Linked DNA regions of Coturnix japonica. The protein of the gene in region 1 purifies or fractionates together with the protein of each later gene. This does not show direct contact. Links are inferred from orthologs where the notes say so. Each region holds a gene or a part of one and is shown in the gene's direction. Other genes may lie near its edges.

What was found.
Region 2: the proteins of INPP5E (region 1) and PDE6D purify together in Homo sapiens (affinity purification with mass spectrometry; 3 studies listed by BioGRID and IntAct, with this or other methods). This does not show direct contact. The link is inferred for Coturnix japonica from reciprocal best matches to the Homo sapiens genes INPP5E and PDE6D.

What each region holds. Positions count from the first base shown.
Region 1 is NC_029532.1:6,366,736-6,371,170, forward strand, and holds the start of INPP5E (phosphatidylinositol polyphosphate 5-phosphatase type IV), read left to right. Parts: upstream 1-1,620; 5' UTR 1,621-1,778; intron 1,779-2,318; 5' UTR 2,319-2,505; coding exon 2,506-3,362; intron 3,363-4,279; coding exon 4,280-4,403; intron 4,404-4,435. Other genes in the region: protein transport protein Sec16A, read left to right, coding at 1-10. UniProt on the Homo sapiens protein: Phosphatidylinositol (PtdIns) phosphatase that specifically hydrolyzes the 5-phosphate of phosphatidylinositol-3,4,5-trisphosphate (PtdIns(3,4,5)P3), phosphatidylinositol 4,5-bisphosphate (PtdIns(4,5)P2) and phosphatidylinositol 3,5-bisphosphate (PtdIns(3,5)P2).
Region 2 is NC_029524.1:13,401,827-13,406,279, reverse strand, and holds the start of PDE6D (retinal rod rhodopsin-sensitive cGMP 3',5'-cyclic phosphodiesterase subunit delta), read left to right. Parts: upstream 1-1,643; 5' UTR 1,644-1,760; coding exon 1,761-1,810; intron 1,811-3,372; exon of another isoform or gene 3,373-4,453. Other genes in the region: COPS7B (COP9 signalosome complex subunit 7b), read right to left, coding at 725-1,105. UniProt on the Homo sapiens protein: Promotes the release of prenylated target proteins from cellular membranes. Modulates the activity of prenylated or palmitoylated Ras family members by regulating their subcellular location.

The sequences.
Region 1 (4,435 bases):
GCTGAAGTAGCAGGTGATGGCTTCGTTTGGAGTTCTCATTCACCTCCTGGATATATGAAGAACTGTTCAGTCTTACAGCACGTGGTATCAGATCTGGCTGCAGGTGACATGACAGTAATTGAATGATGGATGGTTTGGTTTTTTTATGGGTCTCCCTGCTTGCACCTCATCTCCATAAATCATTACCAACTGTGGAATATATGTAACTCTTCCTTTTAAAGATCTGGCTAGAAATAGCTTCGCTGTGATAAAGAATAGACACGAGGGAAGAAATAGTTGTTGTCTGTTACAAAAACCATTCATAAATTGCAATGGCAGTTTATTCCTTCAAATGATTTTAACCCTTTTAGTGGGACTTTTGGAGACATAGTTTCAGGGATTCTTTAATTTCTGAAGGATGCTCCCCTCCCCATGGGGAGAAAACACGTCCACGTTGTACCATGACACTCTGTGGCCTTAAGAGGACCATGCACAATTGTAATGCTTACAAAACAGGTTTATCAGTGTATGAAATTTGAGTTGTTCATCTGGGAAATGCCTCATGTGCTGGGGGGGGTGGGAGGGGAAGGGGGGCCACAGCTCATCCAAATAAATCGACCTATATTGAATGAAAACTGTGACTGTAATCTAATCCTAATTTGATTTGGAATCTTATCTCGTATGTATGTAGTTTGTGGTTTTAGACTACTTGTAAAGCAAATTGTATAGTCTGAAAGAAGCTCTGTGTATAATAGCTGACGCTGTACTATTTGATGAGTGAGTGTTATGAAGTGCAATACGGTTACTTTGCTTTCTCTCGAGCTTCTGGCGCTGAATGGTTGAGGTGGTAACAGCTGGCGAGTTTGGTTTCTCTTCCTCTTCAAGGCCAGAATCAGCATAGAACTGTTCTTGACTTTCCATTACTAAGATAACCAAGGTCTTATGTAGCTTACAGCCGAGTTGTACTAAATGTAGGTGGATCAGACCTCTACAGCTGGACTTTAAAATGGTTAGGTTCAATGTAGGAAACCTCGCAACCTATGATATGCAACTTTCCACATCGACTGAAGAATCCGAATCATCCGCAAAAGAGAGAGAAATAAACTTTAAATATTTATTAAATCCTTAGGCCATATTTTATTTAGAATTTACCACCGAAAATCGGTTTTTTTGATTGTTTATTTTTTATTATTATTTACTTGAATTTCTGCCCAGGAATAGAAGCGATGTGATTGTGGAACTGCCTGTGTTTGGTCCCTGGTTGGTTTTTTTCCTGTACATGAGATCTCAATAGCCTTACATCTGTTCCAAAGGGGTTATGGAAAACGCTGGTGGGGTGGAACTGTGCAAAAAACCTGGTCTGGGCACAGCGTGATGACTTTTCCTATGGCTGAAGCTCCCTCTAGCTTTCTCCTTTCAGTAGAGACTGCCAGCCATCTTAATTCAAGCAGGCTTCCTTTGAGCTGGGAGCTGCTATCTTTCCTAAGTGTAAGATTTGACACTGTAAATTCTTTAAAATAAAGATATTTTGCGCTCTGGAGCACTTTCACATTTTCGCTCCTCCCTGTGGTTCTTCCTTTTAGTCCTCCGGCCTCAAGGGGGCGCTGTAGCGATACTCCAAAAGCGGGGCGGGCCCGTTGCTAAGGCCGAGCGGCGGGGCCTGCTGTTCCGCCGGGCCTCGGGCAGCGGCTCCGGTTCGGAGCGGGGCGGCTCCGGGCCCGCCTGGCAGTGCCGGGGCCCGGGCCTCGCTGAGGCGGCGGCCAACACCGCGAGGGAGCGCGGCCGTGTTGCTCTCAGCGGTGAGTGGGGCCGCAGGGCTGTGCTGGTGGGGCGGGGGGGGCTGCGTGTGTGGCGGCCGCCTCAGGGCTGCTCGATTCGGGGTGTTGATGGAGGATGGATCCTAAAGAGCTAAAAGGGATCGCCTTGAACCCAGCATTGCGTCCCTATCACGGGGTGGGGGATGTTTGATGGTCGCTCCGTGCTGGGAGGCCGATGGAAATGTCCCCGTCCTGTGGCTCTGGTTGGAGCTGAGCGCTGTGACTCAGGGCTGCCCTGCGGCCTTAGAAGTGGCAGAGATGGATGGGGCAGGTTTAACTCGCTGTCATTGCTGCTGGTGCATAGAGCTCTTAGGGAAATAACGGTGTGAAATCAGCATCCTGCTCTTGTGATGGTGAGAATAACGGTGGTGCAAGGTCACGGTAAGGTTTGAGTTGTTGTAACGTGGACCTACGAGGAGCTGATGAATTCAGCAATCCAGAGTTTTGCAGCTCAGGAAGTTCTCGTTCCTACGTGTTTCTTTTGGGGAAAATTCATGTGTTTTACCTCTTGAAATCTTACAGACAATGCAGCTGTCTACACGGTCACCTTCCCATTGCTCTCAACCAAAGACTGAACCATCTTCAGGCTCCACATCTTCCTGCCTTGGTTAAAGCTCTGTTAAAGCCCACGGAGTAAGCAAGGGAAAGAAAGCTATGCTGTGAGGAACTGCATGTGTGGAGGAGCCCGTAGCTGGTACCCGGGAGGAGAATGAGTTCTCTCAATGGGCTTTCGCAGCACTCAGGGACATGCATTACACAGAAGGCAGAAGGTGGAGCGGTGCAGGGCCTGCAAGCTAAAAAAGCAGGCAAAGCAGCAAAGAAGGAAGCCAGCAGCAATGGTGTTCTGAGCTTTGAATCTCCTCCACGCGTAGAAACCTTATTGAATGAAACCTTAAAGCTTCTACCAGATGAACTCAAAGCTAACGTGAAAATTAAATCCATTACCCCAAGGCCTCCCAGGAAACCCCGGCTGGAGCGAGCTGCATCTTTGGATGAGAAGAACTGGAAGAGGTGGAGGAGGTTTAGAACTAGTCAGGAAAGTCTGACCGATCCCAACGAGACGAGCTCCTCCAATGGTTCCCTGCAGGAAGCAGCTCTTACCTCTCCCATCAGGGGTAGAGCAGCCCCGTGTGCTCAGTGCTGCGAGCCAAACTCCTTGCACAGTTCACCAGATGCCTCAGAAGAAAGTCCCATGGGGAAAAGCAAAGGAAGCACTTCTGACCTGGGGAAACGAGCCTCCGAGATCTCCAGTGCCTTTGGTGGGCTTCTGCGTGGGAAAGCGTTTGCAGGCAGCAAACCCAGGCTGTCCCAAATAATGCCTGCTCGACCTCTGCCGCCCATGGAGCTCAATGTGGCCTCTCATACGCTGAGGACAGCAAATAAGATTGACCCAGATTTAATGGATTATCGCCATTATTCTCAGCACAAGTTTGGGAGGGTAAGCAACAGCTTCAGTGACACCAGGCTGCATGGCAACGGGACGCTCTATGATAATTGCTCCACAGACTCCATGAAATCTACGTTCAGTCTGCTCACTCCCATTCGTTCCAAGGATGTCCGAAGCAGGTACGTCCCCCAGCTTCTCCTGGCAAAGTCTGCTCTGTGTGGTAGGTGCTGGCTGCCTTGTTGGAACCCTGATGGTCAGAGGCAGAGAACTTGTGACTGAAGGTCTCTGTTGTTACTGAGGAGACTGGAAATGGTTTGTAGATGAAAATACTGGTACAGATACAGGTACAAATACTCCGTGTTCTCCTTTGGGCTGTGTATTGTTTTTCAGAAGAGAAAGATTTACTGTTGGTTTACTTGTAATATTTAAGTAAGCTGTTTTGAAGGATAAGGAGCAGTAGCTGTGCATGCTAACAGATGGGAATATTTCCGCTCTGTCTCAGATCTTGCACTATTCTTATAGAATAATCTTGGGTCTCATTACAGCACTTTCTCCTCCTGGGGCCCTGACCTCTTACTCAACTTGGCTGTCTTCATAAATTAGTTAAGCTTAGGTTATTGATTGAGGGGGGACTGATTTTGCTTGTTAAGGTATGGAATCCTCACTCTGCAAAGACCTCCCAGCACACAGCACAAATGTGGCACAGATTGGGAAGTGTGCTGAATGGTAAAGGACACCAAGTACTCAGCTAAAAACAGTGTGCTGTAGGTACACAGTGCTCTGCAGGACCTCAGGGGACAAATCTGATCAGTGATCCAAGGAGTGGGTGGCGGTAATAACAGGGAAAGTAATTCTGCTTTGAGTTGCTTTGTGTTTCTCGTACGTCTATTACTTCTTATCTTTGAGTTTCTAAAAACTGCAGATAAACATTAAACAGATAAACACCTGCAGATAAACAGGTAAACATTAAGATAGCAGAATAGTGTATAAAGACATTGTTTTCATGAGCTAAAGGTTTATTCTTGATTACCTTAATGTTTGAGCGTTAGATCTGTATTCCAATCATGATGCTCTTTTGTGGGTTTTCTGTTCACAGAAGCTATTTGGAAGGCAGCCTTCTGGCAAGTGGTGCCTTACTGGGAGCAGAAGAACTCAGCAGGTATTTCCCTGATAGGAATATTGGAATTTTTGTGGCCACCTGGAACATGCAAGGCCAGAAGGTACGTGCACATCATTCTCCAGATGCTTTTGG
Region 2 (4,453 bases), on another chromosome or scaffold:
GATGGGGACACCCAAGAGTTGCTAAAGCAACTGTCTACTCTGTTAAACTCTACATTTCCCAGGATCCAGAGGCTAACCATCTCTCACTTCACGCAGACCATGAGAAAGACACATCTGGATGGTGGCACATATGCAGTTGTTTGACCCCTTCCATCAAGTGTCAGATGGGAGAAGACCTCAGCTTATGAGCCCGTCTCCCTGGGACACAAGCTCTTGTAGCAGTACCTTTGGAGAAGAGCATTGCAATGTGCTTTGGGGAGGCAGAAAGGAGGCTGGAGGTGTCTCCTCACCTGCAGTGACAGCTCAGAGACTGTGATGCCTGCCAGAGGTGTAAAAGCAAAGGTGAGGTTTTTAGAACAAAATGGTTCAAGGGAATAGTGAGACTTGCTGCAATTTTCTTGCAAGAGAAAGTATTTTGAGAGGAAAGAACTCAAGGTTTCTGTCACTCTGAATCACAGAATATCCTAAACTAGAAGAGACCCATAAAAACCACTGAACCCAACTCCTGGTTCCACATAGAACCACTCAGATCATGTGTTTGACAGCACTGCGCGGGTGCTTTTTGAACTCCAGCACCCAACCAACCTCTAATTGAAGAACCTATTCATGATATCCAACCTGAACCTCCTGAGTTACACTGTCCCACCACACGCTTCTTCCCTAGTTTTAGGAGGGGAAATGGGTGGTTTTTGAAGCTGAGACGCAGAGGCTGCCAAGCACGTACCTCCTCACACAGCGTGGAGAGTTTGGGCACCCATGTCAGAACCACAAAGGCCCCAACACCGACATCAGGGCACACTCTCGTGTCAGGAGCCCTTCGCTGCCGTTGCTCGCTGCGAGAGCCGCTTCTGTCTGGCTGCCACCTCCCTGTAGCCCTAAGCGGGGCGGTTCGGAGCCCCCTGTGCTGTGGGTAGAGCAGCATGCTGTACTTCTGCCCCGCAGGCTTCTCCCTCACACACAACCGCTCGCTCTGGCCTTCTCCAGCTCTGCTGCTGCCTGCGCTCTCCCTGTCTCCCTGCCAGCTTTTCTTCGGGAGCGTTCTCTGCCCTTCTCTGGACGCACTGGGTAACGCCGGGCTATCCAGAACACAACAAGGCTGCTCCATGTCAGCTAACGGGGCGGTCAGCGCTGCCCACCGCCAGCCTTAATGGCACTCATAGGCTGTGCCGTTAATGGCACTCATAGGCTGTGCCGTTAATGGCACTCATAGGCTGTGCCCTCGTATGTTCGACGCCTCGCGGTTCTCTCTCCTCAGCGTGGCAGTGCTGTTGAGGAGCTCTGTGGCAGTGTACGCGGAGCCCCCAGTTGTCGTCCCGCACGCAGACTGTTATAAGCCGTGTTAACGTATTAACGAACGGCCGGCACCGGACACGCGTCCCCAATGGGGCCGGGCGAGGTTTGTCCCGCGCCGCCTCCCGTCCCCGCCGACGTCACTCAGCCCCGGCCGGGCCCAGCGCCTTAACAAGCTGCGCAGCCGCCCTTATATCAACGGAGGGGGAGGACGCGCCGTCCGATTGGTCCATCCCGCTGTCCTTCATCAACCAGCAGGGGCGTCGGCGGCTCGCGATTGGTTGTCCCGTCGGGGCGGGGAGAGCGGCCGCTGGGATTGGCTGCCTCGGCCGGTGGCGGGTGCGAGGGAGTGCGAGGGGGCGGGGCGGGGGGTCGTGAGGCGCCGCTGTCAGCGCCGCTCCCGGCCAGGCCCCGCGCAGCCAGGACAGCCCGCTCAGCCCGCCCAGCCCGCGGCGCGGCGCGGCAGGACCATGTCGGCCACGGACGAGCGGGCCAAGGAGATCCTGAGGGGCTTCAAGCTGTATCCTCACCGAGGGGGAGCGAGGGGGGGGCGGGCGGGGCTGGGGGAAAAGGGGGGGGGTGGCTGGGTACCGGGGTTTCCCTGTGTGAGGGCGGTTGTCATGGCAGCTCTGCCACACACGGGGCTGTTGTGTCGCGTCCCCCTCTCGGCCTCGCGTTGCGGGTCCGTCCCTCTGGGCGCTGGGCCGGGGGCAGCGCGGGGCTCCGAGCGGGCACTGCTGCGTCGTGCCGGGCCCTGAGGCGTCAGCGCTGCCCGAGTCCGGTTGTTAACGCGTCTGTCTGCGGTACGCGATGAAAGTTTGCGCCTTGTCGCTTGGCGTGCTGGGCGAGCACCAGTTTAACGCCGGTGCAGTGAAGCAGAAGTGGGAGCGGAGGGTCCTGAGTGCGGCCTTGCAACCTTGGGGATGGGGGGGGGGAATGACGGCTCAGCGCATAGGTCTGTGTGTGTGTAAGGGTGGGAGATGTGTACAGCTGATTTTACCGTAGCAGATTCTACTGCGCATAGTGGGCAGGTGCCAGCTTGGCCTTAAGGGGCAAGAAAACCAGTGGCTGTATTTTTTTTCCCCCCATAATGGAAAGGACAGAACCAAAGTGAATGAAAGGACAGAACCAAAGCGAATGAAAGGACAGAACCAAAGCGAATGAAAGGACAGAACCAAAGCGAATGAAAGGACAGAACCAAAGTGAATACCCCTCTTGCTCCAATGCTGTTATTCCTGAGCATATTTTTGGCCAGCGAGGTGCTGCTAATCTCTGTGCCAGCTGCAGCAGAATCTGAGTTACTCAGTTGGATTCAGCTGCTATCAAACTATTGGCAGATGCTTTGCTGAACTTATGAATCACTGTCCCCTCCCCCCCAGCTTTTAGTTCTGCAGCTGGTTCCTTTGCTTCTGCACTGGTAATATTGACAGTTCTTTTTGTTTGTGGAGCTGTAAGATTTTGGCTGTCAAAACACAATTTAAGCGTGTTTTGTGCGAGTAATTAGGAAAAGCATAAGCTCCTGACAAGATGAGACTGAGCTTTTGGTAGAGATGAGAAGGGTTGGAGAGTTAAACTTAAGGTACAGACTTTCACGTGTTTGTTTCTACTGGTTTGTGCACGTGCTTTGCCAGAAGCAGAATCTGAATGAAGGTCTGTGTCCAGCTATGGATGAAAAATCACTTCCATTGTTTGGTAACTTAAATAGAAAATGTTTCTTGACCTGGTGTTAAAGGTAAACCTCAATAGCTCAGATTGGAAAATCAGGAAAGTATTTATCGATGTATTGCATAGATGGGATTTCTTGAGTTGAGATAGTTGAATAATATGCAAGTATTAGAAGGAAAGTGACAGAGCAGGCATTCCTCATTTATGAGAGAAAGCCCTGAGACACCACAGCATCCACACAGGAAGCAGTTCGTGCCCAGATGTGGCCTCATTCTCTGTAAGGCAGCCACCAGCTCAGGCTTCCTTTTTTTGACAGTGTGTATTCTAAAACAGTACATTTGAAAGAGATGCTTTATCTTCTGCTCCCTGTGCTGAAGTATGTGTTAACTTGGTGCCCTCAATAAGAAAGGAAGAGAGAAACATCCTCCGGGAAGCTCTCAGGTTTATATTTGGAGTACTTGAACTTCTTCCTCCTCCCAAGAAGGAAGGAGCACACCCTGCAAACTTGCTGTTAGCACCAGAAGCCATCACAGCAGTACTTTAGGTATGGCATAAAAAGAAATAAGTATATCCAAGGTAGGTTTATTTGGTAGAGGGCATCACTGAGGAATCAGTTTTCTCACTTGAATGCAAGAACACACACTTTGGAAATGGAGTTTGCATTGAGTACTGGAGCACCCTCAACTAAAGTCTGTTCATTTGTGGTTTCTGAGAAGAGACTAACTACAGGCTTTCAAGCTGATTGGGACATGCTGCTGTGCACATTAAATTACAGCCTAAATCCACCCTCTGACTTAGCACCAAGATATGCTTCCCTTCCTTTATGACACTAGCACAGAAGCATGTTGTGGCTAGCGTCAAATTCAGACCAGGGTATTTTACTCCCTCTTCCCATAGACTTTGTTACTTAAGAAGATGAAAACCGAAAGGAGAAATATTTGATACTTGCAGACAAAAGAGGTTTCCCACTTTATTACACTAGGATTTTTTTATGGCACCAGTAAACTAAACACCAACAGCGTAGTTAATGTGTTACGATAAGAGATGGAAAGCAACCATCAAGATCTTCTATAGCTTGTCACTTCCTAAGAGACAGTACTTGTTATCAGACCTCTCAGGTACATTCATCAACTCACTGTTCTAAGGATGCTGCTTAAAATACAGCATCTTGGTGGTCTGGCACTCTGAGAATACATTCTAGTTGCTTGTCCATAAGTAATACCAGTTCAGTTAGCTAATATTCCAAAGGAAAGCATCAGTAATTACTGAGCTTCATTTCCACAAGCTTTTATACACAGCTGGTCCTGTAATCTCAAGTGCATTCGGTCTGACTCTGCTCTGTGCTCTGTCACTCCCTCTGTAGCTTCCTCCTGAACTGGGGCAGTTTCTCCATCAAACTGCAGAGTGGTGTTTTAATTGATCTCTAACCAGCAAGGAGAAAGGAGTTCAGCAAAGCCAGCTGACTCTTGTAGCATGGTTAAGGTACTAAGTAAACATA